Astyanax mexicanus: one gene and its partner. The protein of the gene in region 2 binds, or shares a complex with, the protein of the main gene of each other region. Links are inferred from orthologs where the notes say so. Each region holds a gene or a part of one and is shown on either strand. Other genes may lie near its edges.

Region 1 (7,584 bases), on a different chromosome or scaffold from region 2:
CATGCATACATCACTTTCCCTAAAGGTATCTATATCCTGTACAATATACAAAGTGCTTATGTATTCATACAATTATGTTTTTTATGGTTTTTGTGTGGAGTAAATTCGTACAGTGCCACTGAATTCCCCATCATTATTTTTATTTAAACATAACTAATTAAACAACTGGTACAAAACTATACATTGAATAAAACTCATAAAGCAAAATTTAGCAGCAGCAGCTAAATAATAATTAGCATTTTTGTGCTGTTCTGTTTTTCTTCTGTTCTGTTTAGAAAGTGCTGATGATCAGCTGACAATGTGCAAAGTTGTCAGTCTTATTGAGCACAGTGTGAAATGGGAGGATCACAAATTTAACACACACCTGATTCATTCAGGTAACTTCCTGTGATGTATTTTTATTGTTGGATTTCTAATAATGTTTATATAATATTTATAGTTTGGACACTGAGTGTATGAAATAATTTTTCACTCATACTTTTAATATTTAATAAAATATATGAACTGTACTTTTACTGTTATAACATTACAGTTAATGGACAAACTGATGCAGTGTGAAAATCTTTCTTTAGGCTTAGGTGTGTTTTAGCAGAAGGTGTCGGGAGTCGGACTCTGGCTGTGAGATTTATTTCTTTATTTCTATTGATCAGAAATTAATGGCATCCATATTTTCTGCAGTCGTTGGTAATGATTAGTGTCTAGTCTAATCCATTTTCACCATTATTACCTTTCAGATCACACACCCTGAACTACTGAAAGGGGTAAACATGGTTACAGGCATCATCAGTTTGTTTTTTGCTGTAAATCTCTTTTATCTAAGAGTAAAAAAAAAACTTACAGATATTTCTTTTATCTCTTTTTTCTTTCCCTCTCCTTCATTCCCAACTCAAAAGAAGACCCTGCTCAGGTTAATTGGAGGAGTCTTTAAGGTTTCCTCCAAATGGGAAATAAACTTTTTTTCTGTTCATAGAAAGTAAATATGTTGTCGTCTGCAATCTGTGAAAATGACTATATCTAATAATTGCCAATTAGGAGAGCTAGACATGCATCACTTTCAGATGGGCAGCGTTGAACAGTTTGAACAGTAGATATGTCTGAAAAACAGAATATGTTGATCTAAAATTTTTATATACTTTTCTGCATTAATGCTGTCCCCACATAAATGTACTGTGACACAACCTCATACTATAACAGATTGTAGCTTTTTGGACTTGCTGTTGATACATCTGAATGTTCCTTCTTGTCTTTAGTCTGAAACACGCAATATCCACTTCTTCCAATAAAAAATACTGATTAAACTGAACACAATAAATATTTCTATTCTTTGATGGTCAGTCTCAGGATCCTCCAAGCCTAAAGATGTTGACGACATTTCTTGGCTTGGTTTAGGTAAAGCTTGTGTTTTGGACAGTGAAGTTTAGGTGGTGTTTGTAAATGTAACTCTGGATAAATGTTTGCCAAAAGGAATTGCTTGCTTTGTTGTATCGGCTGTTGACTGGGGGTTCTTGATGCAGAGCCATCTGAGGAATCTGAGACAGAAATATGACAAACAATGAACAAACAATGAATAACAAACAGCAACCTAACCTACAAGTGTACTTAGACTTTGCATTAACACCTACGCTATTCACACACACACAGACGCACACATGGACATAAACTTGCAACTTCAATGCAGCATGTGTTGATCTATTGCAGAAGCAATAAATACAATTGAAGAAGAAATCCATTTCACCTTCTCACTAAACAAACAACTTCACTAGAGTTCACTAGAGACCTAACTGTGTTCACCTGGTCTTGGTTTAGTTGTGTGTTATTACTGTATTCACACCTACCAAAATGAATCAAATTTGTCATTTTGTAACTTACGTAAAATTATATATTTTTATGTGGCAGCAGGGAGGCCGGACTATAAAACATTTTTACAGATTTTTTTACATTGTACTTTGAAGCCTATGTCTTTTCTTATTGTTCTGTAAAATCAGTGTCCAGTTTGAGTTTCCATGTACTTTTCATTTTACCAAGAAAATGTAGCTCTAAAGCCCGAGCTAAATCTTGAAAGTAAGAGATTTCTCATTGAAGTTGAGAGTTAAATGGTCCTCTCATTGCTGATTAGACGGAAGATAGGTATAATCTGTAAAATGAAAGATTGGATGTCTGTGATCATCTGCCTCCTAATGATGGTATCGATAGCTCAGAACGTCAGACACCTATAATAAAAATAATAGTTCTTTTGGTGACCCCACTGCCTACAATTGCAATTCTTATTTGAACATGAAAACAGGAGATCACTGGGTGTGTAGGTTTTTTTTTTGTGTGGGGGCAATAAATAGCCAAGGCGTGTTATAAGGTATAAGTCAAGAGAACCTGAATGAATGCATTTAAAAATGTCCATTTAGGGGACGAAATCCTGTCTTTTAACAAGGCCCTGAAAATAAGTAAATCTGCCCAGCATATTCTGAACACTGCTTTTCAAAACAAATCATGGGCTGACTACAAGTAGTTAATTTGTGTATTCTCAGTACGTATTCCCAGTACTTGTATTCCATTACAATCCAACCCAGCAGATGGCGAAGTGTCAAATTTTTTTTCTGGGCCAGCTGTTGGTAAATGCAATTCAAGACATACAGCCAAAACTCGAGAGGTATAATGGTTGGGACCTGATGACAGTTGGGGCCAATAACAGGAATCATCTTTTTTCTGTATGACATTTGTAAGTAGAGCAGTATTTCAAGCTGAATTAAACTGTGGTTTTGTCAGCACAGCTGCTGTACATGGTCTGGGAGTTTAGTATCATGGTTGTTTTCCCAAGAGTATTTGGCTTTTCAGAGCAATATGGGATTAATATTTAGAAGTAGGCCTTTTTTAAAAGTATGTCTTGATGGAATGGAATAGTTTCCAAGAATCTGAGAAAAAACAGGAGCAGGGAAATGGAAAGAAAAGAAAGCTCTTGATTTGAAGGTTCCTTAACAAATACCCTTCTGGCAATGCTAATTGTGTCTGTCAAAGAGTCTCAGATGTATTAGATTAAGTGGCAATATTGCATTACATTTTATGACCTAAGTGTTTATAACACAGCTTTGTATAGGAGACTTTTGGAGTTCTGCTGCAGGGCAATTGTCTATTAGGCAAATGTAGCAACCATTATCTGTACAAATAGGATTTTCTTTATATATTTGTCCTTTATGGAGGTGCCAGGATACGTTCTTATTTCTGAAATGGAGGCATTTCAGATCTGTTAGAACAACATATGCAGAATAAACCACAAGACACTGATTAAGGCATGTAGCTTTAGGGGAGATAGAAATCTTAGATTTAAGAGTTTCTCACTGTGGCTAAGCAATCACTGGTCTTGAAAACAAGCTTTTTTGGTAAATGTGGGTTAAAAAGAAATACATTGATATGCATTGCTGGTTTGTTGTGGCCGTGTTTGCGGACGGTGTGTTAGTGATGTTCAAATATGAAAATATACTCCCATCTAAATTATCTAAACTGGTTAGTTTTTGCCCATGGTGGTTTGTACAAAAATATTTATCACAAAATATGAGACTATTGCGATTTAAAAATATGACTTCTACACCTCAAATGCACTGAATATCTGTAGTATTCTATGATTAAGATACATGTAGCCCTAAGTTTAGCATGGCTAATGGGATACACTGTTAAGATATAGTGTCAAGTCATTCAAGCTATAATAGAAACTTAACACATTAATTATAGTACAACAAAACGATACAAAAATATTCCTAACTTTATATGAAAAAAATATAACAAGATTTTCTGTAATACAATTCAATATTAATCCAAAACTATCCGATTCTTTGTATTGATGCATCCAATGTGCTAATATTAGGCTCATATAAAGGTTCAGTATTTAATATTTTGATATACTCTTTATCAAATTTTCAGTCCATTGGGAACATTTCAGCACTGAAATTAAAGACAGGTGTAGCTGACAATTTTTGGAGGAAAGGCTGATCTGATGGTCAGTAAAACAATCCACAAAATCGGTTTCTGACTAATCAGTCAGTCTGACTAATCAATCAAGTAAATTTGAATTGAGTTTATCAGAGAGAGTTTATCTGAGGTATTTTATTTGAGGTAGTTTATCTGAGGGAGTTTATCTGAGGCAGTTTATCTGAGGGAGTTTATCTGAGAGAGTTTATCTGAGAGAGTTTATCTGAGAGAGTTTATCTGAGGGGGGTTTTCTGAGGTAGTTTATCTGAGGGAGTTTATCAGAGAGAGTTTATCTAAGGGAGTTTATCTGAGGGAGTTTATCTGAGAGAGTTTATCTGAGGGAGTTTATCAGAGAGAGTTTATCTAAGGGAGTTTATCTGAGGGAGTTTATCTGAGGGAGTTTATCTGAGAGAGTTTATCTAAGAGAGTTTATCTGAGGAAGTTTATCTGGTGTATTTTATTTGAGGTAGTTTATCTGAGGGAGTTTATCTGATGTATTTTATTTGAGGTAGTTAATCTGAGGGAGTTTATCTGAGGGAAGTTGGTCTGAGGAGGAGACTTCTACCCTGAAGGTCCGAGTCTGAGCCGCTGCCCTCAGATCGGTTTATGCAGGAGGTGGGAGTTGAGTCCGGGAGGGAGGAAAGGGGGGAAATGATAGTAAATCCACTCAGGTCCTCTTGAATTTCGTGTTTCTGCGTGTTTTTACTCCGCTGTTTCTCCCGCTCTTCCCGCGCCGAGGAGAGAGAGGCGCGCGACACCTGAACCTGAGGAGTTTCCCGCGCCGCGCGGAGAAAACCCGCGAGTTTAAATTGAGGAGATTAAATCCGGAGATGAAGAGAGAGAGCCGGGTTTTCTGTGGGATTTGGATCGGGCTCGCCTCTTTCTCAGGTGAGAAACTTTACCTAGATAACTCTCAACACAGGCTGCAGATAACCGCTGTGTGTATGTGTGTGTGTGTGTGGTCAGTATGTTTTTTTCGCGTTTTTACTGAATTTTCTCATTAATGTTGCTTTTTTCAAGAAATAGTGAGCTTCTGTGTAAAATTCAGTAATTCAGAAATGTAGACTCTGGTCTATTTTACAGTTTTAGAGTTTAACTACAGAGATGTTTAAAAGTGGGAACCCTTTAAATATTTGCCACTTCTAAAAGTGCTGAAAGAAAACAAAGATAATAAACATTCAAAAATAAGGCAGAAATATTAGATAGAAATATTAAACTTTTAGTCAGATTATTTCTTAGGGTTGTTGTCTTGCTGCATGACCCACATTCTTAGCTCAGGTGTTCTGACTTTTTCCTTCAGAACTGGCTTTAGTCCAAATCCACTGTTACATAAATGATAAGAGGCCATCCTTGCCCAAAGACCCAATCCATAACACTACCACCACTGTGTTTCACAGATGGATAAGTTTTCTTTTTTTAAATTTTGGGATGCAGCAATTTTATATGGATGAAAATTCTCCTTTAGTTGCTTGGAAGGTACAATGGGTTAATTTATAGACAATTCATAACATTTTGTCTGATTTGTTTGATTTGGATCTTTTTACCTCATTTTAGGACTTGTTTTAAGAAAATCTGTAGAAGTTGTAGGTTAAATTATGCAAAAATATAAAACACTCAAAAAGGTCGGGCACCACTATATTCTGAATGAATCAGTAGTCAATAAGAGTATATTTCACTTAGATTTGAGTCGATTGAATCCTATTAAATTAATATTTATAAGGTGAAATTGATAAACCATTTTTTACATTAACTTGTCACTCAGAGATAAAAGTTGTCATGGACTGCAGCTTAATGCCACACAAAAAACTGATTTGGGCAGCAGTCCATCATTATTAACTAGTGCAGCATCTCAGTAGCAGTAGACAGTTTGTTGTTATTGGACACTGGTGCACTGGCCACAGTTTATGAGATGTCATTGCTAATATTAAAGGTAATTTGAGATTGAATGCAGCTCATATGCTTCCCTCCTAAGCTTAGCAAGCTGCCATACTTAACAACCAAAATCTTTGCTTGCATACTTGCGGGCATATATATTGGGAACCTAGCCATCTATGTGATGGTCCAGAGAAGAGGATGAATGAATATTTGGATCCACAGAGCATCTTCTCTGTCTATGTTTATCTTTAAATTAATCTAACAATTATGGTAACAAGCCACAAAAGCCTTTAGATGATTAAGGATAATGGAGTAGATTTCATCAGATTGTGCAGCTTTAAAGGTGAAGTAGATTGGTTAGAGCATGGCATGTTAAGCACTGTCAGGAAGGCCTACCTGAAAGTCTGCAAGTCAAGCATCCATGTCAGATCCACTTGTCAATTTGACAAGTTTTGGCAGCAGCAGTCACACTTTAATTTAAAATGCTCTTTTCAACAGAACAGCACTTGGTCTGCTAAAGTCATCAGTTACCGACAACAGGAAAACAGCCCTAATACAGCCTTTATTCACTTTTCACCTCATTAGTGACTTTATTGTTCTTTCAAGAAATTATAATTGGCTTCTGTTACATAAGGGATCACTCTGTTCAAGCTGACTTTGGGTTATATGTCAGTTCTGTTCATTATGATAATCATGCATGAGTGTTTTTAATTGCAGTATTTTCATCTGCATGATAGCCCACCTCTGTGAGGAATATGATGTCTGCCAGTCATAATATCTAGAGGACCATTTAAGATGACAAAAGCCACAGAATCTGAGGAATCAAAACATGGGAATATTCTTATAGCAAACTCAAGCATTCTGAAGGATGTGGTGCTCTAGTGTTTGGTATGGAAGGTTCATCTCAATTAATTTTGAGTAAAAATTAAGCTAAGAAAGCAGCCGTCATCACAGGTGTCAGTTAGTGAGATCCATGAGGCATCTGAGGAGAACTTGAAGTGTTGCTGAGGCGTTTTCCAGAATCCCTGCACCTTGGGTGGAGTCTTATGTGAAAATATGTCCTCCCTTAACATTTGGAATCCAGAGCCATAAAAACCCCAGATATATGTCTCTCCCTTAAACTCCATAATCTTCATCTCCACAAATAAATAACACATGGAATCTTGGTGGCGCAGGGAATTTGCCTAGGCTACCAAGATTTTCTTGTAGTGAAGACTGGGTCCAATTATTAGAAGTGGTCCCCAATTATTTAACCGAGCACTAACCTTAACTGAGGCAAAAATGGGAAAATTGCAGCTTGGAGGGACAAAAGAGATGATTGTTATTTAATCAGAAACAAAAGCCTGTTCAACAGAAAAGAGCCTAGGGCTGCAGAAGAAGTTGTCCACATTTATTGATTTCAAGTAAGCCTGAGTTGTCCTTTAATGCAATTTCCTCAAATGGGCAACATTTAGCCCCTGAGCTGGCTGATATTACATTTCTACCATTTTAGTTTTGTTTGGTTTCTAAAATCATCCTCAAAATCAAACAGCGCAGGGAACTGCTGCAATAAACATGGTAATCGAAAAAAAAAACATGTAAAAACACTCACAGCAATGAATCTCCTACATGAAAGTTGGAGTAGATATTTATCTTAAGTCTCAGAAGGAAAATCCTCCACTTGTCCCTTTCGTCGAACGGCTCACTCACTGCAATGTGTTTTATGTTACCATACTGGTGATTAAAAACAGATTGAGAGTTACTTGGTGAGGT
Region 2 (7,380 bases):
TAATGCTGTGGAATCTGAAAGCCAAAAGCAACTCTGAGATTACACTGTGCACCAGTGTATGTGTGTGTGTACTTGTGTGTGTATTGAGGTTAGGACAAAAACTTTGGCCTCCTCATACTCTTTGTATGGCTGGGTTTTAGTTCTAATATAATACAATACCCTGGTAGCAACTTTAATCCAGCCAATTAAGAGTATCGCATGATCAAATGGCCACGTGTTTGAGATTATCTGTCATTTTACTGCTGAGCAGCTCATAATCCCCCTAACTCACACACACACACACACACATCCTCATACTTTGTGACCCAATGACATCTGCTTTAATGGCTACACTGAACTAGTCACATATTCCTTCAAGTTTCCAACACTCTCCAAAACAAAAGCCTCTTCTCATTAAATTTACACCACCGTAGTTAAACAAAAGCATGGATAGATCTTGTCATCTGGCCAAATGTAGTTTGTGACACAGGATGACCAAAATTAAATGTCAAATTTACTAACAAGAGTGATGACAGTTGGTTTTAAGTATTCTAAACATTACATGCTAATGTCATACTAAAATAAAATACCAACATTTAGTTTTGCAGTTTGGTGACCAAAACCCAAAGTCAGCTAAACGTCCTAATGTGTACCGATCTCATCTCCAAATCTCCAAACACTCATGCAGTCATATTCACCCCAGTCAAACCCAATAGTTTCCAAAGCCAAAGCCAAAGGCATTTTTTCCACAGAATGTATACCAACAGACTGCCTGTCTTCTGTTTACCAGACAATACATGCAATTATATTAGATAGTAAAAAAAATGCTTTTGGGACTGCCATTGACCTTCCTTCTTACACCTTTTCCAATCTTTTAAACACAACATTCTTTAAAACCAAAGTTAATATATCCAGACTGCTCATATAATTATTTTACTGTTCTAACCTGCCTTCCATTTACCAAAGAAACACATGTACTAAGACAAGCTGACATTGTAATCCTTGTTGGTCTTTCTTTTCTTCCATTTCCCAATCATTCCTCTAACCCTTGACACTCCTTTTACATTACATTTGACATTTTTCTTCAACTGGTTTGGAATAAAAACTAGCCTTCCTCCTCAGAGCTTTCCCAATTATACAGTCAAACCCTACAGTCTCCAAAACCAAAGTGTAAGCCATTTCTCTCACTAATGTAAAACCACCCGACTGCCCAAAACAGTTTTCTTTCCAAAATAATTACCCTGGCGCTGACTGCCCTAACCTGCCTTCTACTTAACAGGTCATGCATTAAATTATATTGGATCAACCTGAAACCTGAAAACAGACATTAAAAGATGTTGCCATTGACTTGTTCACTGGGTTTCTCCTTAGACTTTTTCTAATAATTCCTTCTCATATTCACACCTGTCAAACCAAACAGTCAGCAATCCCAATGTCCAACCTATTCTCCCACTTATTTGATATCCCCAGACTGCACAAAAACTACTTTCATCCTGGAGATTACCACGTTAATATGTTCACTTGCCAAACAATGCAAACATTTAATCTGAATTATGGATTATTGCACAATGGAATGAAAAATAAAAGAGGATGAGTTTGGGTTATCATGCCAACTGCCAAACCCACCAGTCTTCTTTAAAACCTGTCAAAGAGATTTTACACTAAATTAATAACTCCTACTTTCCTGAGACCTTTTCTAAAAATTATTCCTCATATTCACACCTGTCAAACCAAAGAGTCTCCAAACCCAACATCCAAGCTTTTTTTCCTACTAATTTAACACAACTAGACTGCACAGAAACTACTTTTGCAATTGTTTTTACTATGTTAACATAACATTTATATTCCAAGCAATGCTTGTTATTTAATAATAATAATTATTATTGTAGTTTATTTGATTAAACAGTGAAAGAGAATGATGTTGCTATTGTTATTATACCAAGTGATATTACATATAATACATATGCTAATCCTGGTGTTTACTATTTAACCTGCCTACTACTTACCACACAGTGTATTACATGAAAGATGACAAACATTGAAAGATGTTGTCATTGACTTTTTCACTTGGTTTCTTCCTCAGACCTTTTCTTATGCTTCCTAACATTCACACCTGTCAAACCAGCCAGTCTCCAAACCCCAACGTCCAAGCTATTTTGCCACAAGCTGAGTACAACCAGAGCACCAAAGCACTACTTTTTACCCTGGTGTTACATGTTAGTTAAACCTGAAATATGAAGTTTTGGTTGAAAACAAACATTGAAAGATGTTGCCATTGACTTGTTCACTGGTTTCCTCCGCAGACCTTTTCTTATGCTTCCTAAATATTCACACCTGTTACACCAAACTGTCTCCAAACCCAACATCCACGTTTTTTCCCTACTAATTTATTACAACCAGACTGAGCAAAGAACAACTTTTATCATGTTTTTTACTCTATTAACATGCCTTTTATCTACCAAGTTTAACCTGACATCAGACATTACACTAGTTTTATCCTGGTGTTTACTGTTTTAACCTGCCTTCTACTTACTACACATTGCATTAGATACATGACGTTTAGGTTAAAAACACACGTTGAAAGATGTTGTCATTGGCTTCTTTACAGGGTTTCCTCCTGAGAGCTTCAGATCATGCAGTTAGTTCTTCAGCTGAAACTTACCAGGGCATCTCCTTGGTCCGGGTCGTAATCGTAGTAATCTTGGCTGGACTGGAAGGCGAGGTTGGTGTAGAGGAAAGGCGAATAGGCGAGCAACACACTTAATCCAAAAAAGTTCATTTTTTAAAGCGGGAGATCTCACAAAGTCCGGACGGGAAACCGACCACTGTCTCAGCAGCAGGTCTACACTTCTCCTCCTCCTCCTCTTCCTCCTCTTTCTCCTCAGTCTGCGGCTCTTTTTCAGGAGAAATCAGTGAGAATATCCAGTATTTTAGCAGCAGAAAGCTCCAGAAACGCGTCCGCGCGCTGCGCTGACCGTTAAAAACCGTTACTGACCGTTACTTTTTTAATCGTTTGAATCGCTCTCACGCGCGGCGCTCGCGGGAAAGTTGCGCGGGAGCGGCTGGAGCTGCAGCGGCGGAGCTGGATGTGCTCGGCGGGCTGAATGGCATGTTGAGCGCGGGTTCAGGCTGTCACACTGCGGCTCTGCCTCTCCTCCCCCTCCGCCTCTCCTCTCCTCTTCTCTTTTTTTCTGCTTCTCTTTTTTCTCCTCAGACTGGAATTGATGCAACTTTCACACACAGCGCGAGCCGTCTGGCTCAGAGCAGTAGGAGTGGAGGAGGCACGCGCACCCTCCTCCTCCTCCTCCCTCCTCCCTCCTGAACATCACCCCACCCCCCCATACACACACAAATACACACACACATATACACACACACAAGACTTTTTTTGCACAGGATTTTTTACACACACTGTATTTGTACACAGCATTATCAGTCAATACATTCTACTAGTTCTACTATAGTTTAGCCTAAAGTAAGTTTGGCTTGGGTTAATAGTTTATCTCACTTCATCCATATCTTTACAGTGTGCACTGTTGTTACATATGGAAGTTCAGGGGAACTGTGGAGGTCAAGATTACTAGAGCAAGCATTAGAACCTGCAATATATGATAGCTTTGTACATCTCAGACTTTTCTCTGTCAGCGAGGTAGTCTGTAATCTGAAATGGCTTTCAGTTAAAGGAGAACTCTCATATCATGATAAAACATGATACAAGTACAAGTACTTTGATGAATAGCACACCTCTGTTCTCCCACAGCGTTCCGAGATGTTAACAGAAATGTTAACAGTTTGTCCAAACACCCTTCAGATTGCGTGACACGGGGCATAATTTTCCCTGATAAATCACTTTTTCCACCGTTATCCAGCTCAAAGTAGCCCCACACCTCAACAAGAAGCTTATTAAAAACCTTTGTTTACATCCTATAACACTAGCTTCAGCTCTGAACTCTGCCATCACTGTACTGATAATAACAGACACACACATATATATATATATATACTGTATATACACATAGACTCCACAAAGCGTAGCAGCCAGCAGCGCCAGGAGGTAGGCTATGCGGAATCTATGTATATATGGATTCTAGCAAGGAGGTGTTGAGCTACTTCGAGCTGGATAACAGTTTTATTACTGAGTAGAAGTGTGAAATATAACACATGTCCCCCTGAGAAAATAATCCCATCTTGATAGGGCTTTAATGTGTTTGAGAGCATCAATTAAAGTAAAGTAGTGAAGAGGTAGAGTTACAGGTATACAGTGAATAGTGAATATTTGAGTAATGTTCTAATACATATTATGAGAAGCAACAACTACAGTTCAGAAGTACAGAAAAGAAGGTCAGTCAATTCGAGACATTGATAGTATTGATAGCAAGTGCAGTCGCAAAAAAGACCATCAAAAACTGTATAATGATTAAACTGGCCCTCATCAGGACCACCCCAGGAAAGGAAGAGCAAGAGTTTCCTCTGTTGCACAGGATAAGTTAATCAGAGTTACCAGCCGCAAAATTTGCAAGTTAAAAACAGCAGTCAAGATAAGAGCACCTAATTGCTTCACAGGGCATTTTGGTTAGTTTAACCCTACACCAGTTTCTTAATTACACTCCAAAAACAAATAAACACTCTAAAGAGCTTTCACTTGATGTGTCTTAATTAATTTAAAATGTACTCTTACTTAAACATCTTGAATAAAATCATGCACAGGAAATTTGGCAGTGTTAAAACAACACTGTTAGTGTTAAATCAACACTTACTTACTTATTAGTGTTAAACTTTACACTCTCAGTGTTAATTTAACACTAACAGTGTTGATTTAACACTGCCAAATTTCCTGTGTGGTTCTTCAGGGAGCCAAAACTGGTTCCTCTATGGCATTGTTTAAAGAACCAGTTATATCGTATGTTATAGTTTAATAAATACACCAAAACTGATTTTTTTTTTATTTGATTACGTACTTATGTATCATAGGTGAAACATAATCTGTATGGTGTGCAAACATTTACTATACACAATATTAGTTAAGCTAAATAGGATGTTTATGTTTGGATTGTTAAACATGGTTAAACACAGGACAATCTGACCGAGAAAGGTCACTGATGTTCCCTAAAGCCTAATGTAACAGAAGAATTAAAGCACCTTTATTTTCACAAGTATAGTCGATTATGTAGTCTAAAATAATGTATACGTAATAATACATTCATAAAGCATTCATATTTATAGTGTTCATAGCATCGCTACGAACCTCAACTCCCACCGAGGCAAAACAACACAGTAGGCTCTTAAAATTCAACTGCCCCCAAGTGAAGTGTAGTACACGCTCTGCATCATCAAGCGCTGCTGAACTTCACGCTACGAACCGATGACAGACGTGTGTGTGTGTGTGTGTGTGTGTGTGATGTGTCTCTGGTGGGGATGGAGGAGCCGGACGGAGCTCCAGCTCTGAGAGGTGGGTAAATAATTGGTTTGGAGGGCCGCTTCTCTACAGGGGGTCTCTCAGCCGTCAGAGCTGAAGTTCACCGAGGGCTCTTGTAATGCAGAGGAATGCAGGTCCGCTGTGAGGGATTTTCCTACCATAGTGTTTCTTTCACAGCTGTCTGAGGCTCTTAACTCCGTGGTCAACGCGAGGCCGGCTGGAGGAAAAGAGCGGCCATGCGGTGTCAAGCACATTATGTACTCAGACTAATGGCCTAATTGAGCAGGAGAGCTTGTTTTTTAGACTTCGGTCATCAGTGTAATTCACCTGCTCCTCTGGCGTAGCTGAGCAGCCAAATAACGGTATCCCTCTGCGGAACACCGGGAAGAATTTTCCATGAAAAGCTTACATAAAACATCTGATAATAGAAGACACATGGCAGGAGAGCAGTGCAGTACAGAATATCATGCAGTGAGGAGAAGTGACGTCGGACCACGAGCTGTAAAATCACTGTTTATGATCACGGTAGCCTGGCTAATGCTGGATGTTTGGCTTATCTGATACACTAAAGCACTATTATGCACTATTGTGACTGGCAGAAAACTCTACATGTGAGTTAAGCACATACAGTTTAGGCCCATAATTATTTGGACAGTGACGTAATGTGCATGATTTGGGCTCTGCATGCCAACCCTGTCGTTAGCAATTAGAGGGGTCAAGTTCTGGACGAGCTGATGGGTAAACCTATTTCCGGTTTGAAGCACCGCTACAAAAATGAAGAGTTTTATTATTCCTCTTTATTCTTTTTCCGCACTTTAAGCAGGACGATGTTGCCAGAACCGTCAGGGACCTATCAAGGAACAAACGAGTGAAACTCATTAAGGCATATAAGTTCTTTTTCGAGCAGTTTATTTTTGATTATGAAGGTAAATGACCAAAAATCTACAGTTCTGTAGTTTAGGCTAGCCAAGTTAGCGCCTTAGCTCCGTGCTGACTTAACCTTCTATCATTTAAGCCTTCATTAGACTGTTTGTTTATCTTATTGTTAAATAAAGCATATAATTTATTATACTATTATAGGTGTCCAATATTGTAGATAAGGAGATCCGTGTAGGGGCTAGGTGCTACCGGTGTTCCATCGAGTTGTGCTACCCATCCAATATATGCTTCTTTCCACCAGTGCGCCTTCAGTTCATCTTCATCTACAACTCACTGTAATTCTTTGTCTGAGTGATACACACGTGTAAATATCAATTAATAGTCGTAAACGGCGGATAGTCGTTAATCCTGCACTTTATGTTGTCTATTGTTTGCATGTAAGCATTAAAAATACAAAAAAATATATATATACAAAATATATCTAATCTCGTATCATTACCTTAACTTATCCATCACTGAGATCTACACCACACGCTGCATCCGCAAAGCCACCAGCATTGTGGACGACCCCACCCATCCCTCACACGGACTCTTCGCTCTGATGCCGTCCGGCAGAAGATACAGGAGCATCCGAGCCTCCACTACTAGACTCTGCAACAGCTTCATCCACCAGGCAGTCAGACTTCTCAACACACAGAGACAGAACTGAACCCCCACCCCACCCACCACTCACCCAACACACTCGCACAAAACTAAACTGTACACCCCCCCCTTTACACAAAACTAAACTGTACACCCCCCCCCCTTTACACTCACAAAGAACTGAACTTCACACACACACACACCCAGTCAGCACACAGAGGCTGACATGACTTTATTTGCTGCACTCTTAAAAACTATAAACTCTACCTCAGTAACTGCTGTGATTATATATGTTCTATATGTTACAGTATGTCACACATCTCTGCACCTTATCCCCACTATACACTTATTATACCGTATCGGTACTGCACTGTCCTGTCTTTAAATTGTCTCGTCCTTCTATTTATTGTATTTATTGTTATTTAGTGTTATCATTTTATAATTTTATGTTGCACTGTCGTCAC

Evidence for each region.
Region 1: the proteins of vegfc (region 2) and flt4 are in contact, whole or in part, in a crystal structure (PDB 4BSK), measured with the Homo sapiens proteins. The link is inferred for Astyanax mexicanus from reciprocal best matches to the Homo sapiens genes VEGFC and FLT4. Residues at the interface, in NP_005420.1 of Homo sapiens: Leu119, Asp123, Trp126, Gln130, Asn167, Arg210; in NP_891555.2 of Homo sapiens: Gln172, His199, Asp200, Ala201, Leu202, Tyr203.

What each region holds. Positions count from the first base shown.
Region 1 is NC_064417.1:66,003-73,586, forward strand, and holds the start of flt4 (vascular endothelial growth factor receptor 3), read left to right. Parts: upstream 1-4,536; 5' UTR 4,537-4,787; coding exon 4,788-4,845; intron 4,846-7,584. UniProt on the Homo sapiens protein: Tyrosine-protein kinase that acts as a cell-surface receptor for VEGFC and VEGFD, and plays an essential role in adult lymphangiogenesis and in the development of the vascular network and the cardiovascular system during embryonic development.
Region 2 is NC_064414.1:53,085,239-53,092,618, forward strand, and holds the start of vegfc (vascular endothelial growth factor C), read right to left. Parts: upstream 3,255-7,380; 5' UTR 2,759-3,254; coding exon 2,642-2,758; intron 1-2,641. UniProt on the Homo sapiens protein: Growth factor active in angiogenesis, and endothelial cell growth, stimulating their proliferation and migration and also has effects on the permeability of blood vessels.